4 linked regions of the Arabidopsis thaliana genome follow. The protein of the gene in region 2 interacts with the protein of the main gene of each other region in a pairwise test. Each region holds a gene or a part of one and is shown on either strand. Other genes may lie near its edges. The genes, in order: IAA19, ARF8, IAA1 and IAA8.

Region 1 (3,906 bases), on a different chromosome or scaffold from region 2:
ATTTCATGGTGAAAAAGGGGCTTCGGATGAAATTTTTGATCAAATTATATTTGTTTATTGATAAAACAAACGTTTTTTTTAAAGGATGACAGTTGTGCGTTTGAGATGAAAACCAAACACTGCTCCCACTCAAAATTTGTAAAAATGGAATTTATAAATATTTGGTGCTACAAATGTCGTTTGGTAGCCTTTGGAAACATTAAAGGTAAACTAGAGATATGGGAGTATGGAACTTAATCTCTTTATGTGGTTGTATTTCATATAATTTCACGTGGCCCAACTTGTTTCTGTCAATCCATTGATCAAAGTTGGTAGACAAGAGTGAACCCACACACACTCACACACATACACACGGTCGATCTTTTTTTCTATTCTCGTGTCCCTACGTCCTCTAAACCCCATCATTATACTTCTTGTGTTTTATTGGTATGCTGAGCTAGAGATAGTTAACAACTACCCAACAATGCGGGTCTGGCTTAGTTTGAACCTATTCGAAACTAGTTATACTCCGCTTGAAGTCATTGGTTCGAGACTAACTTTGGAGATGAGTATCATAAACAGCTCTAACTTAAGATTACAATACATCCTCTTGTTAGTCTAAGTTGAGAGGTGTTGCCATTGACTATATATTTCTTTGGGAATTTGGTTTACCAGGATGTTGCAAAGAAGATTTAAATAGTTATAAATTAGTACAAATTCAATCCATATGATATGATATTCAAAAAACAAAAAAAAAAAAAAACTGATCTAAAAGTCGAACCAAATTCTAATTTGATTAGAGCATGTATATAATTGAATCCCTAAGTAAAATTCAACCCAATACTTGAGAAGGTAGTTATATTCTTATAAATTATGGATATGATTTGATTAAAACTCAAACCTGAACCCAAAACATACTAGAATATACGTTTTTACTTTGTAACTATTTGTCACATTCCAAAACTAAACTCGGTACTATATTTGATTCTGATCCATACAAATTTTGTATATCTGGTTTATATTCTCCATGTGAGATTAAAGCGGTGACCAATCAAAATCATTGCTGGAATATCTTACTATTAAGCTAAATGTTGTTAGTTATATACAAGCCAATCCAAAAAAACTGATGCAAAGAGAGATAAACGAACATATCCCAAAATGGTAGGATTTGATTTAATATTCCCATCCTCTTATTAGAAATGCAAACAAATAGACTATAGTTTTATTTATTTATTTTCACTATAAAATAACTAAATAACATGAACTTATTGAAGAAAAAGTATACTATAGTTGTGATTCTGTGATATACTAGTTAGAACAAGAATCTTTACAAAAAAAAAACACATGGGATGTTAGGAGAAGGAGATTCGGATTCCAATGATCCAACGGTCAGAGAAAAATCAGAAGAAAATTTCACAACCGTAGGATCTGTTCCCTTAACCACCTTGTAATGCCGGTCTTTATTAATTTTGAGAAAAAAATAAAAACAGCACCAAACTTATGTCTCTCATGTGACCGACCACCGCATCCTCAGTTGACCTGTCTCTGCCCCCACTTTGTCTCCCCACACAAACTGAATAACAAGAAGAAGAAGACTTTAGATATCAAATGACTCCACGTGTCGATATTGGATTGGTTTTCATTGGTTGTATCGTGTGGACCAACGAAGCAACATATAAAAAGCACGACGCGGTGCCATTACTACAATAAGAGAAGTGTAGGAGAAGAAAGTTCTCATTTCATAATTGTATCAAATTGTGAGAGGAAAAAAAGAAGTTCAAGAAATGGAGAAGGAAGGACTCGGGCTTGAGATAACGGAGCTGAGATTGGGGCTTCCGGGGAGAGATGTGGCAGAGAAGATGATGAAGAAGAGAGCTTTCACGGAGATGAATATGACGTCGTCGGGTAGTAATAGTGATCAATGTGAAAGCGGCGTCGTTTCATCTGGTGGTGACGCTGAGAAGGTTAATGATTCGCCGGCGGCGAAAAGCCAGGTGGTGGGGTGGCCACCGGTTTGTTCTTACCGGAAGAAAAACAGCTGTAAGGAAGCTTCGACCACGAAAGTGGGGTTAGGGTATGTGAAAGTGAGCATGGATGGTGTGCCTTATTTGAGGAAGATGGATCTTGGTTCGAGCCAAGGCTATGATGATCTAGCCTTTGCTCTTGATAAGCTCTTCGGTTTCCGTGGCATCGGTTAGTAACAATTATGTTCTCTTCCCATAAAAGTAGAGTGGTAATTAGATCATGTGGAAAACAACTAATTATATATAGTTTACAAGACGTCCGATTAAGAACTTAGAGTGTTGTAGTCTTGTAGACGTAATGGAGTAGTATAGTTTAGTGCTGTTCTTTCTTTTTATGTCTACAACCAAACCAACACCCCAATTTATGATACAATGACAACACTAATACAAATATAGTTAGAATTTTGGTTAGCAGTTGAACTGATTGTGGTAGCAATGTTATAGATTTTAATTTAAAGTGTTATGAAAGGACAAATATGTCGAGATTTTTATTAGTCATCTCAGGAAATTTATTTACTTGTTCTTAGAGACTTAAGACTAGTCCTAATTTAACTGGTTATTTTTCTCCAAACTGTTTTGAATTATCTGAAAATTATCTATCATAGAAAATTAGAGGTTTCGGTTACTACATATCCGTAATTTCTAAAAATCAGAATTTATGCACCACTTGTATAGTTGTATTGTTAATTAGACTTTTCTATATACCGAATTCGCCATATTATCAACACAATTTTAAATTTACATATATACATATTTGTGCAGGTGTGGCCTTGAAAGATGGTGACAACTGCGAATACGTTACCATATACGAAGACAAAGATGGAGACTGGATGCTCGCCGGTGATGTACCTTGGGGGTATGTTCTATCTTTTGACTTAAGATATCTCACTACAAAAAGAAAATGTATCACAAACTAAAGTAAATGAGTTTGGATATTTTGATTTGCAGGATGTTTCTAGAGTCATGCAAGAGGTTGAGAATAATGAAAAGATCGGATGCTACCGGGTTTGGGCTGCAGCCTAGAGGAGTAGACGAGTGATGATGACTTGAACAAGAAGCAAGGAGCTGGTTCATTAATTTAATCTTAAACTTGATCATCAAGATCCTTTAGAACATTTTTCCTATTCATGTTATATAAATATATATGTTATAGTATATTATTTTGCAACAAAATTTCATGTTATGGTTTTGCATAATTATCTTCAGAAAGACAGCTATATATATATACACTACTTGTTTCTTGAGTGTTGAGTTAAAACATTAATCTGTTTCAAAATTTATTGTTATTTCGGATCTATATATGTGTGTAGAAACATATGTAATAAGTATCCATTATTTCATCTTTTTAAAAAATAATAATTATTATTTGAATCTTTCATTGTTGATATGTTATGTATACCTGTGTTTTGGAAAAAATATGGATATTATAAGCAAATCTAAATAGATATTTATAAAAAAAGTCTACGTAAAACATTCGTTAGTTTTTACTTCTACTTCAGTAAGTGACATCACAAATCTAAATAGATGTTTTCATAAGTATATAAGTGTAAGATAAAAACAAAGAATTCATTCTTCCTTTTTTTTCTCTTAGAGTTATGCTTGTATAATTTATTAGTACTATAAGATTTTTACTAGTAAGTTTTTATTCCAAATATTCGTATACCTCCGAAGAAATTAGTTAATTCATAATCGTAATTTCACATTCAAAGTTAAGATTGCTTAATTTAAAGATTTAAGCTTATTCTTCATTTTTTTTTTTTTTTTTGTAATGATTCTTTTTATAGATATGCACATCTTGCTTTTGATAGCATAAGTACTATCAATTATAGAAAACACCGACATGTTCGGTATGTCAACCTAGTTTTTGTTTTTCTATATTGTTGTTCTGTACAATAAAATTAGT
Region 2 (7,263 bases):
ATAATTTGACATCATGTTGTTTTAAAAAATCAATCGTTGAGTTATATAAATGATTGCGACGTATCGCACGATATTACCATCGATAGAACGAAGGAAACTTCCATTTAGCAGTTTTTTTTATTCAAAAAACATATCTTTCATATAATAGAAGTGGAAAAGTTACACCAAGGAAAATTGAACCTACAATCGAAATAAATGAGATAACAAAAGTATTACAATAAATTTATTGAAAGACACCAAACCAGATGAATGATCCGTTGAGCTATCCAACAAGGGTCTAGATGACATTGAAGAATGTTAATGATAAATAATGAGAACTGAGGCTGGCTTTGAGGATGAATTATGCAATCTTGCATTGCGCTTTTTTCCATATGGAGTACAGTGAGGCTTGATAGGCAATTCGAAGAATCAAAGTAGTTTTCTTGTCACGACAAGGATTCTTCAACCATCTAACTTCATCCTCAAATTGATTTAGAGGAGAAAGATGGGCTTTATCATAGAAATAGTGTCATACCTTTGCAACATAAGAGCAGTCGAAGAATAAATGTTAGCGAGATTCATCCATCAAATTACAGAGAAGACACGACGAAGGAGTAGTCATGCCCCATCGAATCATTTTGTCTCTAGTGAGAAGTCTATGATGAGACTTTAGCCAAGCAATGAAAGCATGCTTAAGAATCCTTCCTGGAAATCACACAGATTCAAACCGATCCATCTTTGTGTCAGGAGGATGAAGATGTGCATAAGTTTTTTTTTGAATATTAATGTGCCTAAGTTTTAGCAGCAGAGAAAATATTTGATGCATGGATATCATCACCTTCCAAAGGTAAACATCATCCTCTACATCCTCTTGTAAGTTAACAGTAGAATAGGAAGGAAGACATTCTTTAAGCAACTGAATAATGGGACTGCGACTTCGAGAATTTGTAAGCCACTATTGTCTCTTTCTCAATGCATCCGCAACCACAACAGAACGAGGGAGAAGAGAAATTCTTAGTCATAAATCTTCAGGTTAGCTCGACAAATATGGTCCCAAAAAAATCCAATTATCAGTCCAGAAATTACAAGTTATTTCTGAACCAATTTCACAAACGATGAAAAACCTAGTTAAGGGTCTTAACTTGCAAAGATTATTCCAAATCCAGCTTCTCCAAGTGATACACTCCATATCCCAAATTTTTTAAAAATTATTCAAACAAGATCCATGTGTATTAGTTTTCTCTTTTGGTAAGTAAAATAGTGGTATCCATAAGATGTTGGATTATCGGGCATCTATTTGCTAATGATTGTTTCTAAATTAGAACTTAGATTTGCGAATCTAATAATACATCACTTATCAATAGATAAACCTTTGACCATTTTTTCAACGAACTCATAAAAGATCCAACAAAATATTTTTTGAGTTATTAAATTAAATACTACTATAAATTATCTTTAAATAAATCAAATTATGGGAGTATTTGGTGTTTCTTTCATCAATGAATGGAGCAAAAATAAAAAGTATTTAAAATAAACAACGCTAACATTTATGACAACTCTATTATCTCTCTCTCACTCTCTCACTTCAAATACTATAATTCATTGTCCTTTTCATCGAATCCAAGACCTCAAAAAAAACAATTATTATTTTTCAACGATCAAGATCTCAAGAGTCAAATCCAACGGTCAAAAAGAAGTGACTCTGGTACTGACACCACCTCTCATAATTCTCGTTAGTAGGACCTCTCTTCTTCTTCCTTCTCTCCACTGTATCGGATCCGGGTCAAATCCGGGTCGGGTGGAGTCGGGTCGGGTCTCTTATAAGAGGAGGAAAACCACTTACTCACTTTCTTCTTCTTTTCTCTCTCTCTTTCACCCCCACGCACTCTTCTTTTCTCTCTCTGACACATATCTTTTTCTCTCACTAACCATTTCTTTCTCTCTCTCTCTTCTGTTTTTGAAAGCCAAAGTGTCTCTCTTGGACAGTGATGGAACTGCTTCAAGAGATTTAATTTTTTACCCACGAGAGAAGTCAAGTTGTTGAAGAAGAAAGATTTGTTCTTTTGTCTTGTTTCTTTCATTTTTTCATCCACAAAGATCTCAAAGACAAGAGTTTTTTTTTTTCTGTTGGGGTTGCTTCAATGCGTACTTGTAGTAGAGAGCTTGTGTTGTTGTTCATGGTTTGATGATGAGAAGAAACAGATTCTGGTTTTGAAGAAATGGGGTTTGTTCTGTTTCTTGTGTTTAAGGGTTTTATGGATGGTTTTTTGATTCGAAGCTTTCACTGAGTCTTATGGTTGTGAGTGAGATTTTTGGGGGTTTGAACAAAGGAGATGGAGAAAGACGAGTTTGTACTTCCGGAGCTAAAGAGTTATAGCTACTGTAGTAGCTGGAAGTGAAGAAGATTTTTTAATAGATTGTACGGAAAAATTAGGGTTTTCAAAGTTTGGTTTCTTGAAGTTGAATTAGACATGAAGCTGTCAACATCTGGATTGGGTCAACAGGGTCATGAAGGTGACTTGTTTACTCTCTGATTTTCTTAGTTCTGTTTCTGGACAAGTGTTTTCTTAGTTCTTGTGTCTGTGTTTGTTCTAACAGGAGAGAAGTGTCTGAATTCTGAGCTATGGCATGCTTGTGCTGGACCATTAGTCTCTCTTCCATCATCTGGTAGTCGAGTTGTTTACTTTCCACAGGGTCACAGTGAACAGGTTTGGGTTGTTGTTTAAAAGTATGGAGCTTTATTTTTAGACTTGTGTTATATTTGGGCATTTCCATTTAAATAGAAGTGTACTTGTAGGTAGCTGCTACAACTAATAAGGAAGTTGATGGTCACATACCCAATTACCCAAGCCTACCACCACAATTGATATGCCAGCTCCATAATGTTACAATGCATGTGCGTAGTTAGTTCCCTGTCCCTTTCCATATTCAATTTTTACTTTTGTAAACTAGTTTTGGGATGATGTGCTTTGTAAGTATGGGTTTCGTTTCTACTATTTCAGGCAGATGTTGAGACGGATGAAGTCTATGCTCAAATGACACTTCAACCATTGACACCGGTAGATACATTATACATAACAGGTTTTTGAGTCTGTGAATTAATAACTTAAGCTTTAGGATTGGTGTTGTTTATAGGAGGAGCAGAAGGAAACATTTGTACCGATTGAGTTGGGGATACCGAGTAAGCAACCTAGTAATTATTTTTGTAAGACTCTCACAGCTAGTGATACCAGTACACATGGAGGGTTTTCTGTTCCTAGACGTGCTGCTGAGAAAGTGTTTCCTCCATTGGTATTATACTTTTTCTTTTACTTACTTTGCTATAAATTGTTGTTGAGAAAATATATGTATTCCTTTTAATATCTTGTGTCTTCCCTGTTGCAGGATTACACACTGCAGCCACCAGCTCAAGAACTGATTGCAAGGGATCTCCATGATGTTGAATGGAAGTTTAGGCATATCTTTCGGGGTAGGTTTCACCTTTCCTCGGTGTGCGTTGATGATCCCTTTTTAACTGTAGTCGCCAGTGTAAAAATTTCAATTGGCTGTTAAGTATGTCTGAAGCAGCATCTGCTGTTATTTTCACTACTCATGTGTGGTTTAGTTGAAGAAACCACGGAGGCTCTGTGTTCTTGTCGTTGTCTATTATAACGTGGAATTATTTACTTGTTCATATGAAGTTAAGTTGATTTGAATCCTTCTTCTTGGTTTGTTAGGAATAACTTACATGGTTTTGGTGTGATTATGCAGGACAGCCCAAACGGCATCTCCTAACTACTGGATGGAGTGTCTTTGTCAGTGCCAAGCGACTAGTAGCTGGAGATTCTGTCATTTTCATCAGGTTTAGTTCTTTTGTTGTACGTTCAGTTTGTGGATTGTGATTATATTTGTAACACTATTACTTGTTTCCAGGAATGAAAAGAATCAACTCTTTTTGGGAATTCGTCATGCCACTCGGCCGCAGACTATTGTACCATCATCTGTTTTATCTAGTGATAGCATGCATATTGGACTCCTTGCTGCTGCTGCACATGCTTCTGCAACTAATAGCTGTTTCACTGTTTTCTTTCATCCAAGGTTGAAAAATCTCTCCCACCTGCATCTTTTTCATCTCTCGGTATATCCGATAATATATCCTACTAATATTCTCTTCATGTTCAGGGCTAGCCAATCTGAGTTTGTGATACAACTTTCCAAGTACATTAAAGCCGTTTTTCACACGCGTATTTCAGTTGGGATGCGCTTTCGCATGCTCTTCGAGACAGAAGAGTCGAGTGTCCGCAGGTGATGATGCCACATATCTGGAAATGCAATCTTGAAACTGAGAAAACTATATCATTATGTTACACATATTACTTTAACATGTTTTCTGACAGTGGCATGGGGAACTTTCCAGGTACATGGGTACTATAACTGGTATTAGTGATCTAGATTCTGTTCGTTGGCCAAACTCTCATTGGCGATCTGTGAAGGTAACAACACTATTAAGCCTGTTACCTTATTTAAATTCCATGGAACGTCACACAGCTTTCTGATGATTTAGTCCAATATTACTCTGAAATTCCATCAACATTGATGAACTGTGGCATTATTGGTGTAGGTTGGTTGGGATGAATCGACTGCAGGGGAGAGACAGCCAAGGGTTTCTTTATGGGAGATTGAGCCTCTGACTACCTTTCCTATGTATCCATCTCTTTTTCCTCTCAGACTAAAACGTCCATGGCATGCTGGCACATCATCTTTGCCTGGTATCCACCTTTTGGCTCTTCTCCTAACTGTTATTAACTAGTATAGTACGTTCGTGAAGTCTCTTACTGTCACTCAGTGTTTCTGCTATTGTAACTTAGTTGCTACTTCGGATAAATAACAAATGTTCGATTGAGTAGAGCTCTGAAGAGGGTCTTACTGTTATAATTTATTTACAAAGAAGTGTGTAGGTACTCTCCATAGCTATTTACTCAAAACATTATGATGTTACAGATGGAAGGGGTGATTTGGGAAGTGGTCTAACATGGCTAAGAGGGGGAGGTGGAGAGCAGCAAGGTTTGCTTCCTCTAAATTATCCATCTGTTGGTTTGTTTCCATGGATGCAACAAAGGCTGGATCTCAGTCAAATGGGGACTGATAATAATCAGCAATACCAAGCAATGTTAGCTGCTGGGTTGCAGAACATCGGCGGTGGAGATCCTTTAAGACAGCAGTTTGTACAGCTGCAAGAGCCTCACCACCAATATCTTCAACAATCAGCTTCCCATAATTCTGATTTGATGCTTCAGCAGCAACAGCAGCAACAAGCGTCACGCCATCTCATGCATGCTCAAACACAGATTATGAGTGAGAATCTTCCGCAGCAGAATATGCGACAAGAAGTTAGTAACCAACCAGCTGGACAGCAGCAACAGCTACAGCAACCGGACCAAAATGCATATCTTAATGCTTTCAAAATGCAAAATGGCCATCTTCAACAGTGGCAGCAGCAATCAGAGATGCCATCTCCCTCGTTCATGAAGTCAGATTTTACTGACTCAAGCAACAAATTTGCAACAACTGCTAGTCCGGCTTCTGGAGATGGCAATCTTTTGAATTTTTCTATAACCGGTCAGTCTGTACTCCCTGAGCAGTTAACAACAGAGGGCTGGTCTCCAAAAGCATCCAACACTTTTTCTGAACCGTTGTCACTTCCACAAGCCTATCCTGGGAAGAGTCTTGCTCTAGAACCCGGAAATCCGCAGAATCCCTCTCTTTTCGGTGTTGATCCCGACTCTGGACTCTTCCTCCCCAGTACGGTTCCCCGCTTTGCTTCTTCATCAGGAGATGCTGAAGCTTCCCCTATGTCACTAACAGATTCAGGATTTCAGAATTCCTTATATAGCTGCATGCAAGACACAACTCATGAGTTATTGCATGGAGCTGGACAGATTAACTCGTCCAACCAAACCAAGAACTTTGTAAAGGTGCTGGTTTGTTCTAGGCTCACCGACTTCTCTGTGGCTCTACTGTCTCTAAGAAAATACTGATATGCTTACAAATCCAAAACTGCAGGTTTATAAATCTGGTTCGGTTGGGCGTTCATTAGACATCTCCCGATTCAGCAGCTACCACGAGCTGCGAGAAGAGTTAGGGAAGATGTTTGCTATCGAAGGGTTGTTGGAAGACCCCCTTAGATCAGGCTGGCAGCTTGTATTCGTTGACAAGGAAAATGATATTCTTCTCCTTGGTGATGACCCATGGGAGTAAGTAAAGTACTCTTCTTCTATTTGTATACATTGCTTTAGATTTGAGATAGATCTTTAAAAGCTTGTTCTGCAGGTCATTTGTGAATAACGTTTGGTACATAAAGATACTATCACCAGAAGATGTGCATCAAATGGGAGATCATGGAGAAGGCAGTGGTGGGTTATTCCCGCAAAACCCGACCCATCTCTAGAAGCTGCTTCGGTGTTAGTCTCATCATGCTACAACGCGGGAGCCCTTTGTTTCCCATTTGAAGTCGTTTCCACTCATCTTTATATGCCATTCGTTCGCATCTCTCTCGTTTTGACGTTTTTAGAAAGAAACATAATCATATTTGTGAGTATGGGTCCTGAAACTTTAGGACGTACTTTAGCTTGTATTAGACAGACACTCTCGTCATAAACATAAGAACCTTTATGTAGCTGTCTCAGGGTAACTAAACTTTTCTAGTATTTATTCTTATTCTATTTTTGTAACAACATTGTTAGACATTCAGTTTGGTCAGACCAATTAGATTCCATAAGGTGTGAAACCAAAACCAACCAAATCTTTAAAACACAACCATTAATCACAAAATGTTACCAAAAGCTTCTACTAGTAACTTAGGTTGAAGAATGACATAGATGAAGTACCAACAACTCATTTTCTCCCTTTCTTTTTGACCCAAAGAGTACTTAAACGTGCACACACATCAGACTTATCAACCTTGGACAGCATTCATGGCATCTCTCAATCTCTTATCATCTTTAGCATCATAGAAGCATTTACGTCTCTTCGAGTCACTTATAAGGTTTGCCCAAATCGAACCACTCCGAGCCAGTGTTGACTCATTTCCAATCACCCATAAACAGTGCCTAGCTCGAGTGAGTGCCACATTGGCTCTTTGACGGTTACTGAGAAATCCAACCTTCCCGTTACTATTACTTCTAACGGTAGAGATGATGATAATGTCTTCTTCACCACCTTGAAACCCATCTACAGACCGAACATTCACAGTGAAAAGCTCACCTGATAAGGAACTGTACTTATCTCTGATTCTCTCTTGGATTG
Region 3 (3,192 bases), on a different chromosome or scaffold from region 2:
ATTTAACAAATGTTACTTCTTATAAGCATACGTCTTGTTTTATATTGAACACGCAAGCCTCTAGCGACTAGCATCTCTGTATTTCATGATCAAGTTTATACATATACTTTTTTATTTGTTATACTCTTTATGTTTTTTTTAATAAAAAAAATTGTTTTGGATGAATATGAAAAGAATAAGAAACTAGAAATAACTTTTTGATTAATAATAGTTCAATAATATGAGTACTAATTATTAATTTAAAACACAAATGTTGTATGGAAAAACAAAAACAACAACTAAAATGACAAAAAATTGTTCAACCATCTTATAAACTTTAAACGTAGGGAGCATTACTTTATACTTGTTGTAAAAACGATAATGCTTATTGGTAAAATAACCCATATACATTTTGATTTGTCAATATGTTCATATATGATCTAGTTTTTGTTCTCGTTGTCGCTAGATAGACAATAAAATTTCTTAGTGGACAGTGATTGTGGAATGAATATACGCCCAACACAAATATAAACATCAAATTAAGGTGCATGCGGTATGGGAATTGCAAGTTAAATGAACATAGTTATGCGTAATTTCGAGAAGGGATTAATTGTATTACCTTGCTCGAAATACCACATGGGCCGTGTCCCCAAAAGCCCATTTAAAATGGTTTTTTTTTTTTTTTAAATCATCTCTTTAGATATTTTTTTCAACTCTTTTTCAACAAAATATATAGTTTCATATAGATATTTGTATTTATAATAAATGTTAAAATGAAATTTTACACAATAATTAAAATAAAATAAATAGAAAAAATGTTATTTGAGACAGCATATCACATGGCCTTACCATACTTCCTGCATCCATTATTCCATTAAGAACACTCTTCACCCTCATCCACATGCATCTCCCTCCCCAATTTATTTACTATTGATCATAATTGTACAAACCTATACTTACAATTTATATATGTGTCTACGAGAAAATAAATAATATTTTACAGTGTTTTGTCTATTATTTTGTTCTATAGTTTCTTGCAAACAAAACATTACTTTTCACGCAAAAACTGTCGAAATATTTATAAAAGGAAATTGTTAATTCTTCGATACAAATTGACCATTAATATTTGATCATCTATTCTAGACATCTACTCTACCATATACCAAACCTTTACACAAAAATGAAATATTTTCATGAAAACTACCCCACAACTGGGGTGATCGAAAAAGCTTGATCTATATGATCAACATGTCCAACACTAGTTTCATTTTTTCTACTATGATATCCGATGATCCAATCTGAACTATACAAAATGTATCTAGATATTTTCTTGAATCAATCCGAATAACGAATAGTTGCAAAACATAAACCTAGCGTGATCGTGTGGTAGAAGGACGAAGGTCGAGAAGTTCTCTTACTCTTATGATTTTCTCTTTACTCATTTGACCGTAAGAGAAAGAAACGGCTAGGATCTCGCGTACGCAACTGGCGGAGACAAATCAGGACCGTTGAAAATAAGAAAGAAGCCGCGTCCAAAATCTTTGTGTCCCACCTTTGTCCCCTTGCCTCTAACTTGCCTCCTCATGCTCCCCGACAACGTCATAATTCATATCTCTCTCTCTCTCTCGTTAACCCTAATTTCAAAGCATCTTTCCTTATATAAATCTCTCTCTCTCCCTCACCATTACACAACACACACAAGCATTTTCAAGGATATCAAATCACAATCCCAAGAAGAGCAATAACAAGAGAAGAAGAAGTAGTTCAAGAATTAAGGAAGAGAGCTTCTCCGTTAAAGTATAGTGAGAGAATATGGAAGTCACCAATGGGCTTAACCTTAAGGACACAGAGCTTCGTTTGGGATTACCCGGAGCACAAGAAGAACAACAACTAGAACTTTCTTGCGTCAGAAGCAACAACAAGCGCAAGAACAACGACTCAACAGAAGAATCTGCTCCTCCTCCTGCAAAGTAAGTTGAGATCTGAAAGTTATAGTTTTAATATCCAAACTTCTTGATATCAATCGGTGTACTAATAATGAATCTTGATTTGTAAACTTCAGAACACAAATCGTTGGATGGCCTCCAGTGAGATCTAACCGTAAGAACAACAACAACAAAAACGTGAGTTATGTGAAAGTGAGTATGGACGGAGCTCCATATCTCCGTAAGATAGATCTCAAGATGTACAAAAACTATCCAGAGCTTCTCAAAGCACTAGAGAACATGTTCAAGTTCACAGTAGGTGAATATTCCGAGAGAGAAGGCTACAAAGGATCTGGATTTGTACCTACTTATGAAGACAAAGATGGAGATTGGATGTTGGTCGGTGATGTTCCATGGGACATGTTCTCTTCATCTTGTCAAAAACTCAGAATCATGAAAGGATCCGAAGCTCCTACTGCCTTATGATCCATTGTCTCAAAACACCTTTTGGTCGAGGCAAAAACAAATTCTACTTTGTTTAGATAAAAAAAAGTTTGGTGTAAAGAAAGAAAAAGCAATAGGGTTACAAATACGTTATATAGATGTAAACTAGCTTTGGTTAATTCTGTAAAAGATGAGTTTTGATTATACGAAGTTTATATGTATGCTCAAGATATTTGATACTAACATAACCAATAAAGTTTAGTATTTGATACTAACATAAGTTTGGGACATAGTGAAAGATATAAAATTTTGGATTAAGAAATGGGCAATGTAATGGATATCACTATCGAAAGTTTTCAACTTTTTTTTGTTTTGTTTAATATTAGATGGCGAGAATCTTTAGTCACTACCCAATAACTTGCTCCACCAATTTGGGATTTGACTTGAGCTCTTCTCATCGTCATCTTCGTCGCCTTCTTTTCCGATCTACTTTCATCACTCCTTCACTCACTCAGTCTCCGTAAGCTCTTCTTCTTCTTCTCTCAGTCTCTGTTTTTCAATCCGAAAATTCATTACTTTGATGGTGTTACCACGAATTGAGAATCATTGATGGTATTGCTTTGATGGGTATCGTTTATATGACAGTTTTTAATCCGAAAGTTTATTACTTTGATTGGTTTTTTGTTTGTTCTGTTTTAACGAATTTGAAGCCAATCATATCTACTAAGAACTTGATTGGTTTAGAGTTATGGATGATGAATCTGATTAATGGAATTGTTTTGCAATCATTAGTGATTTATGAGATACTTGTTTCAGTTACAAGAATTGGATTCGAAGATTTGTA
Region 4 (4,916 bases), on a different chromosome or scaffold from region 2:
GTATTGTCATATCCTTCTCTTTGTTTTGATGTGAGCTAACAAAAATCGTATTTAGTCATATGCTTGTCGTATTGTCCAAAACAGTCTTCTTTTCTCTTTGTTTTATTGATTCTTTGACTGTGTCTATGTGATTAATTCTTGTATTTGGCTAATAACAGGTTTTATTAAGCAATCTCTAACTTGGCCTTATTTCTATGTATAGTTATTTGCAGCTGATCTTTTACAAAAAATGGACAATGAAGACGAATGTACTTATGGTGGTGAAGGTGGGCAAACATCAGCAGATACATCACAATCTAAAAGTTTAGTAAGTGCTTCTCGTTTTAAAAGAAGTAGAACATCAGATATGTGGGATTACTTTACACTAGAAGATGAGAATAACCTCGTGATTTTCCCGCCAAAAAAACGTAACCTCGTGATTTTCCCGCCAAAAAAACATGACCCCGTGATTTTCCCGTCACAAAACGTAACCTCGTAATTTTACCGTCTAAAAATGTAAACTCGTAAAAATTTCTGAATCAATAAATATCTCAAATTTAATAATAATGAATTAATGATGATGATAATTATTTATTATTGTTTTATAATAATAATTAATTAAATTATTATTTAAATGGTTAACCCATTTAACAACTCAACCCATCAAATGAAATGAGTTATGGGTTAGACCCAACTCATTTAACAAAATGAGTTGGGTCAACCCATAACTCATTTAATCATAAACTCATTTGATTATGAGTTGGGTTGGGTTGGGTTACCCATTTTGACACCCCTAGTAACAACAGAATGAATTTTGTTTATAGAGACAAAAAAACATGAAGTAATGAACATTAAAAAAAATCTTAGTAATATAATGGGTTCTCTAATATAATCTAACCTTCGAGTGAGAAAAAAATGAACATAAAAAAAAGAAACAAGAACAATAAAAAGAGTGGGAGACAAGAGGGTGATAAATGGTATAGCTACGGGACGGTGACGTATGATGTGAAAGAAAGGAAGAGCGCGGGTGATGATGGAATTAGGTGACAGGCATGTGAACAACAGTGAAGCTGCAAAGCCTGATTTGGTTGTTTCCCTTCTCTTTAAGCGTGCTTCCAACGTGTCTCTTTGATCATGACCTTCTTCTTCAAATATACAACTCTTCACTTCTATTTTCATTTGCTCTCATTTTCACATTGATTGTGTTCTTAGAATTTTGTTCCTCGTGCAATCTCCTCACTAGTTTAACTAAATAATTATACATTGATTTTTGTTGTGAGTCTACTTAAATTATGGTATCTATTATTGTACATTTCATAACTATACCACACCAAAAGTAGAGCATATTAAGCAGCCGGCAAAACAAAGTTCAATTGCTGCTTTCTTGTCTCTCTCGTATCATCACTCTCCTTTGCTAATTGCTCTCAGCCCATAATTATAAACGAGTAGAAGAATATTTAACACTCTTTTTCGTAAATTTTCATTTTTTACCACTTGTTAAATGCTCTGTCTTACTTTTTTTTTATCCATTGTAATTTTCATTGGCGGTATGCATATTTTTAGACAGACAAAATTTAAACCGATACGTGGTCCCATAACTATTGAAACTCTGATTATAATGGAAAACATATTAAATTTATAGGTATTTTAGACCACTCAGCCTCTTAAATATTGGATGGTCCCATTTCTATCTAAATCATTTTAACAACAACAAAAGAAAATATACCATAAAACAATCTGATTTGATTTTACTTATTGCTAAAACCATATAATAATTTTAATAAAATATAATAAACACACGCATGTTATTTGTGGACCTACAAAATAAAATAAAAAGAATAACAGAGACAAAAAAAAGTCATTTCAAATATATAAATCAAATTAAAATTAATAATATTTTCATGTTTTTTTAAGCTTCCTTACAAAACAGAAACCTGAAACCATGTTACCTATAACAACGACATGTATTTATTATTATTTCTCCATTAGATCTAACGACTCAGAATCACTCTCACTTACTCATTCTCAACCGTCAGATCTAACTACAGTACTCCACACCACATACGAACAAACCTAATCTATCCTTAATACCCTTACTTTTGTAGTTTATTACTAAATTTACCACTCCTTCCATGTTTTTGTTTCTCTCTTCTTCTTGATTGTTGCGCTTTTGTTAGCTTTCTCTGGTTCATTTTCCATGGACGGACCTTGACCTCTCTGCTTCCCTTCGTGCATTTTCTCTCTCTCACTATCCTCTCTCTTTCTAGTGTTTGTTTGATCCTCTGCGTACTCTGTTCTTCTTCTCTCTTCAGGTACTAGTTTCAATTTCTCTAAAAGGAACTATTGAAACCTCCTTCTCTAGTTTCAATTTTCAATCTGGGTTTGTTTGTTTGGTTCTTGTAGCTTCTTTGGATTCATTATCATTTGGGTTTAGTTTATTTTTCTCGTAAGTAAGTGATTTAGTTGTGATTCTGAATTTTAGGGAAATGCTGAAGAAGTTAGAGTAAGAAATTTTTGGTTTTTGAATGGAAAGTGATTGATTTTGGGGAAGATGAGTTCTGGGAACGATAAGGTTGAATTCTGGCTATGAAACCTAGGTTAAAGTTTCTAACTTTATCTTACTTGTTAAGCAAATCTAACCCAATTCTCATCTGAAACCCTAATTTTTCTGGGTTCTTCTTAAAATTGAGAATTTTGTTCATGCATCTATAGAAAGTGAAGATTTTTATGTAATTAGATTGATTTTGGGTTGTTCTTCTTGTTGTTGTGATGCTAAGCAGATAAAACAAGTCCTGCATATTGAAGATCTGATGTCTTATCGATTGCTAAGTGTGGATAAGGATGAACTGGTTACGTCACCTTGTTTGAAAGAACGTAACTACTTGGGTCTCTCTGATTGTTCCTCTGTTGATAGCTCAACTATTCCCAATGTTGTTGGGAAGAGCAATCTCAATTTCAAAGCTACTGAACTGAGGCTAGGTCTTCCTGAGTCTCAATCTCCTGAGAGAGAGACTGATTTCGGTTTGCTGAGTCCGAGAACACCCGATGAGAAGCTTCTCTTCCCGTTGCTACCTTCTAAAGACAATGGTTCTGCTACTACAGGGCATAAGAATGTTGTTTCTGGTAACAAGAGAGGATTTGCTGACACTTGGGATGAGTTTTCGGGTGTGAAAGGATCTGTTAGACCTGGAGGAGGAATCAACATGATGTTGTCGCCGAAAGTTAAGGATGTCTCGAAGAGTATTCAAGAAGAAAGATCTCATGCTAAGGGTGGCTTGAACAATGCACCAGCTGCCAAGTGTGTATTATATGATGATTTGTTTATGAGTTTGTTTATGAGTTTGTTTATGAGTCAAGAACGAATCTTGTGGTAATCTGTGTCTATTGTTTTGCAGGGCACAGGTTGTTGGTTGGCCTCCAATCAGATCATACCGGAAGAATACAATGGCTTCTTCTACTTCGAAGAACACTGATGAGGTTGATGGGAAACCTGGTCTTGGTGTTCTGTTTGTGAAGGTGAGCATGGATGGTGCTCCGTATCTGAGAAAGGTCGACTTGAGAACTTACACTTCCTATCAACAGTTGTCTTCTGCACTTGAGAAAATGTTCAGCTGCTTCACCCTTGGTGAGAATTTACTATGTATTTAAGCTAATCATTGATTCTACTGTAAAACAGAATGAACCAAAGAACAGTGATTTCGATTCTTGTTTGTGATCTCAGGTCAATGTGGTCTTCATGGTGCTCAAGGGAGGGAAAGAATGAGCGAGATTAAACTGAAGGATCTTCTTCATGGATCAGAATTTGTGCTTACTTATGAAGATAAAGACGGTGATTGGATGCTTGTTGGCGATGTTCCATGGGAGTAAGCTTCTTTTGGAACTCTCAGCTTTAATAACTGTGGTTTTGTTTCCGTTCAAAAGTTGAATCCTTGTTAAAACCTATTTGCAGGATATTTACTGAAACATGCCAGAAACTGAAGATCATGAAGGGTTCTGATTCTATTGGCTTAGGTAAGTTTTCCAACATCTTTCCCCCTAATCTGAATACAAACTCAATGGCTCATTTCATTGTTGATTTATTCTGTGGCAGCTCCAGGTGCAGTGGAGAAATCGAAGAACAAAGAGCGGGTTTGAAACGAAGATGCTCAAGACAAAAAAAAAACACTATGCACAGTTCCAATGTTTAAGTTTTATTTACTGATGTGTTTGAAAACTCTTTAGTCTTTTTACTAATTTGTGTTGTAAGACTTTGGATTCTCTTATTTGTGTGTGCTTGTTCAAAACAAATACATTCTTATGTGTGTGTTTCTACTTTGACCTTCAAGATATTTCGTCTCTACGCAAAATCTTGATTTGTTTATTGTTAGCACTTAGTACCAAAGTCTATAAGTGATAATTACGATAAAGAACCTTTAACCACACAAAGTGGAATCTCAAATGATGGTTATTATCTTTAAAACATGAAAGTGTGTAAATCTGGATAAGCTTTAGACTAATCGCAATAGTGTCTTCTACAATATTCTTACAGATTAAATACTAGAAGAACAAAAAAAAAATGTAACTACATATATATATTTTTTTTGTTTTCGATTTTTTTGTAACATACATATAATAACGTATAAAGAAGACTGGTGAGTAGGAAGAGTAGATAAATAAACCTCACCTTACCGAAATAGAGGGCATATCAAATACATGTGGAGCAAGAGTGGATGAGATAGAGAGAAAGGAGAACATTTATGTAGTGAGCAAAATAGAGTTTGACAAATTTATAGTCTCATACTTCTAATAGAGGTAGATGCTAACATAGCTACCCAAACGAAGGAAAGATAATAAAAGAATGTGACGCATAAAAATTTGAATTTTAGCAAACTTCTTTTGAGAATTGTGAGCTCTGTTAACTCGTATTTGTAAATTTTTTTTTTACTAACATCTAATTT

Evidence for each region.
Region 1: the proteins of ARF8 (region 2) and IAA19 interact in binary tests that used the Arabidopsis thaliana proteins (3 or more experiments, as listed by UniProt).
Region 3: the proteins of ARF8 (region 2) and IAA1 interact in a two-hybrid assay, tested with the Arabidopsis thaliana proteins (3 studies listed by BioGRID).
Region 4: the proteins of ARF8 (region 2) and IAA8 interact in a two-hybrid assay, tested with the Arabidopsis thaliana proteins (3 studies listed by BioGRID, with this or other methods).

What each region holds. Positions count from the first base shown.
Region 1 is NC_003074.8:5,262,337-5,266,242, forward strand, and holds IAA19 (indole-3-acetic acid inducible 19), read left to right. Parts: upstream 1-1,664; 5' UTR 1,665-1,763; coding exon 1,764-2,172; intron 2,173-2,765; coding exon 2,766-2,859; intron 2,860-2,951; coding exon 2,952-3,042; 3' UTR 3,043-3,359; downstream 3,360-3,906. UniProt on the Arabidopsis thaliana protein: Aux/IAA proteins are short-lived transcriptional factors that function as repressors of early auxin response genes at low auxin concentrations.
Region 2 is NC_003076.8:14,627,701-14,634,963, forward strand, and holds ARF8 (auxin response factor 8), read left to right. Parts: upstream 1-1,752; 5' UTR 1,753-2,450; coding exon 2,451-2,493; intron 2,494-2,577; coding exon 2,578-2,687; intron 2,688-2,776; coding exon 2,777-2,875; exon of another isoform or gene 2,876-2,981; coding exon 2,982-3,038; intron 3,039-3,114; coding exon 3,115-3,270; intron 3,271-3,363; coding exon 3,364-3,448; intron 3,449-3,729; coding exon 3,730-3,820; intron 3,821-3,891; coding exon 3,892-4,056; intron 4,057-4,140; coding exon 4,141-4,263; intron 4,264-4,375; coding exon 4,376-4,451; intron 4,452-4,579; coding exon 4,580-4,727; intron 4,728-4,959; coding exon 4,960-5,933; intron 5,934-6,021; coding exon 6,022-6,212; coding exon of another isoform or gene 6,213-6,216; intron 6,217-6,288; coding exon 6,289-6,406; 3' UTR 6,407-6,754; downstream 6,755-7,263. Other genes in the region: AT5G37030 (P-loop containing nucleoside triphosphate hydrolases superfamily protein), read right to left, coding at 6,914-7,263. UniProt on the Arabidopsis thaliana protein: Auxin response factors (ARFs) are transcriptional factors that bind specifically to the DNA sequence 5'-TGTCTC-3' found in the auxin-responsive promoter elements (AuxREs). Seems to act as transcriptional activator.
Region 3 is NC_003075.7:8,359,391-8,362,582, forward strand, and holds IAA1 (indole-3-acetic acid inducible), read left to right. Parts: upstream 1-1,605; 5' UTR 1,606-1,791; coding exon 1,792-1,949; intron 1,950-2,041; coding exon 2,042-2,390; 3' UTR 2,391-2,643; downstream 2,644-3,192. Other genes in the region: AARE (acylaminoacyl-peptidase-like protein), read left to right, coding at 2,735-2,868, 3,165-3,192. UniProt on the Arabidopsis thaliana protein: Aux/IAA proteins are short-lived transcriptional factors that function as repressors of early auxin response genes at low auxin concentrations.
Region 4 is NC_003071.7:9,634,347-9,639,262, forward strand, and holds IAA8 (indoleacetic acid-induced protein 8), read left to right. Parts: upstream 1-2,033; 5' UTR 2,034-2,291; exon of another isoform or gene 2,292-2,461; 5' UTR 2,462-2,530; coding exon 2,531-2,551; exon of another isoform or gene 2,552-2,759; coding exon 2,760-3,277; intron 3,278-3,374; coding exon 3,375-3,604; intron 3,605-3,700; coding exon 3,701-3,842; intron 3,843-3,928; coding exon 3,929-3,990; intron 3,991-4,069; coding exon 4,070-4,113; 3' UTR 4,114-4,399; downstream 4,400-4,916. UniProt on the Arabidopsis thaliana protein: Aux/IAA proteins are short-lived transcriptional factors that function as repressors of early auxin response genes at low auxin concentrations.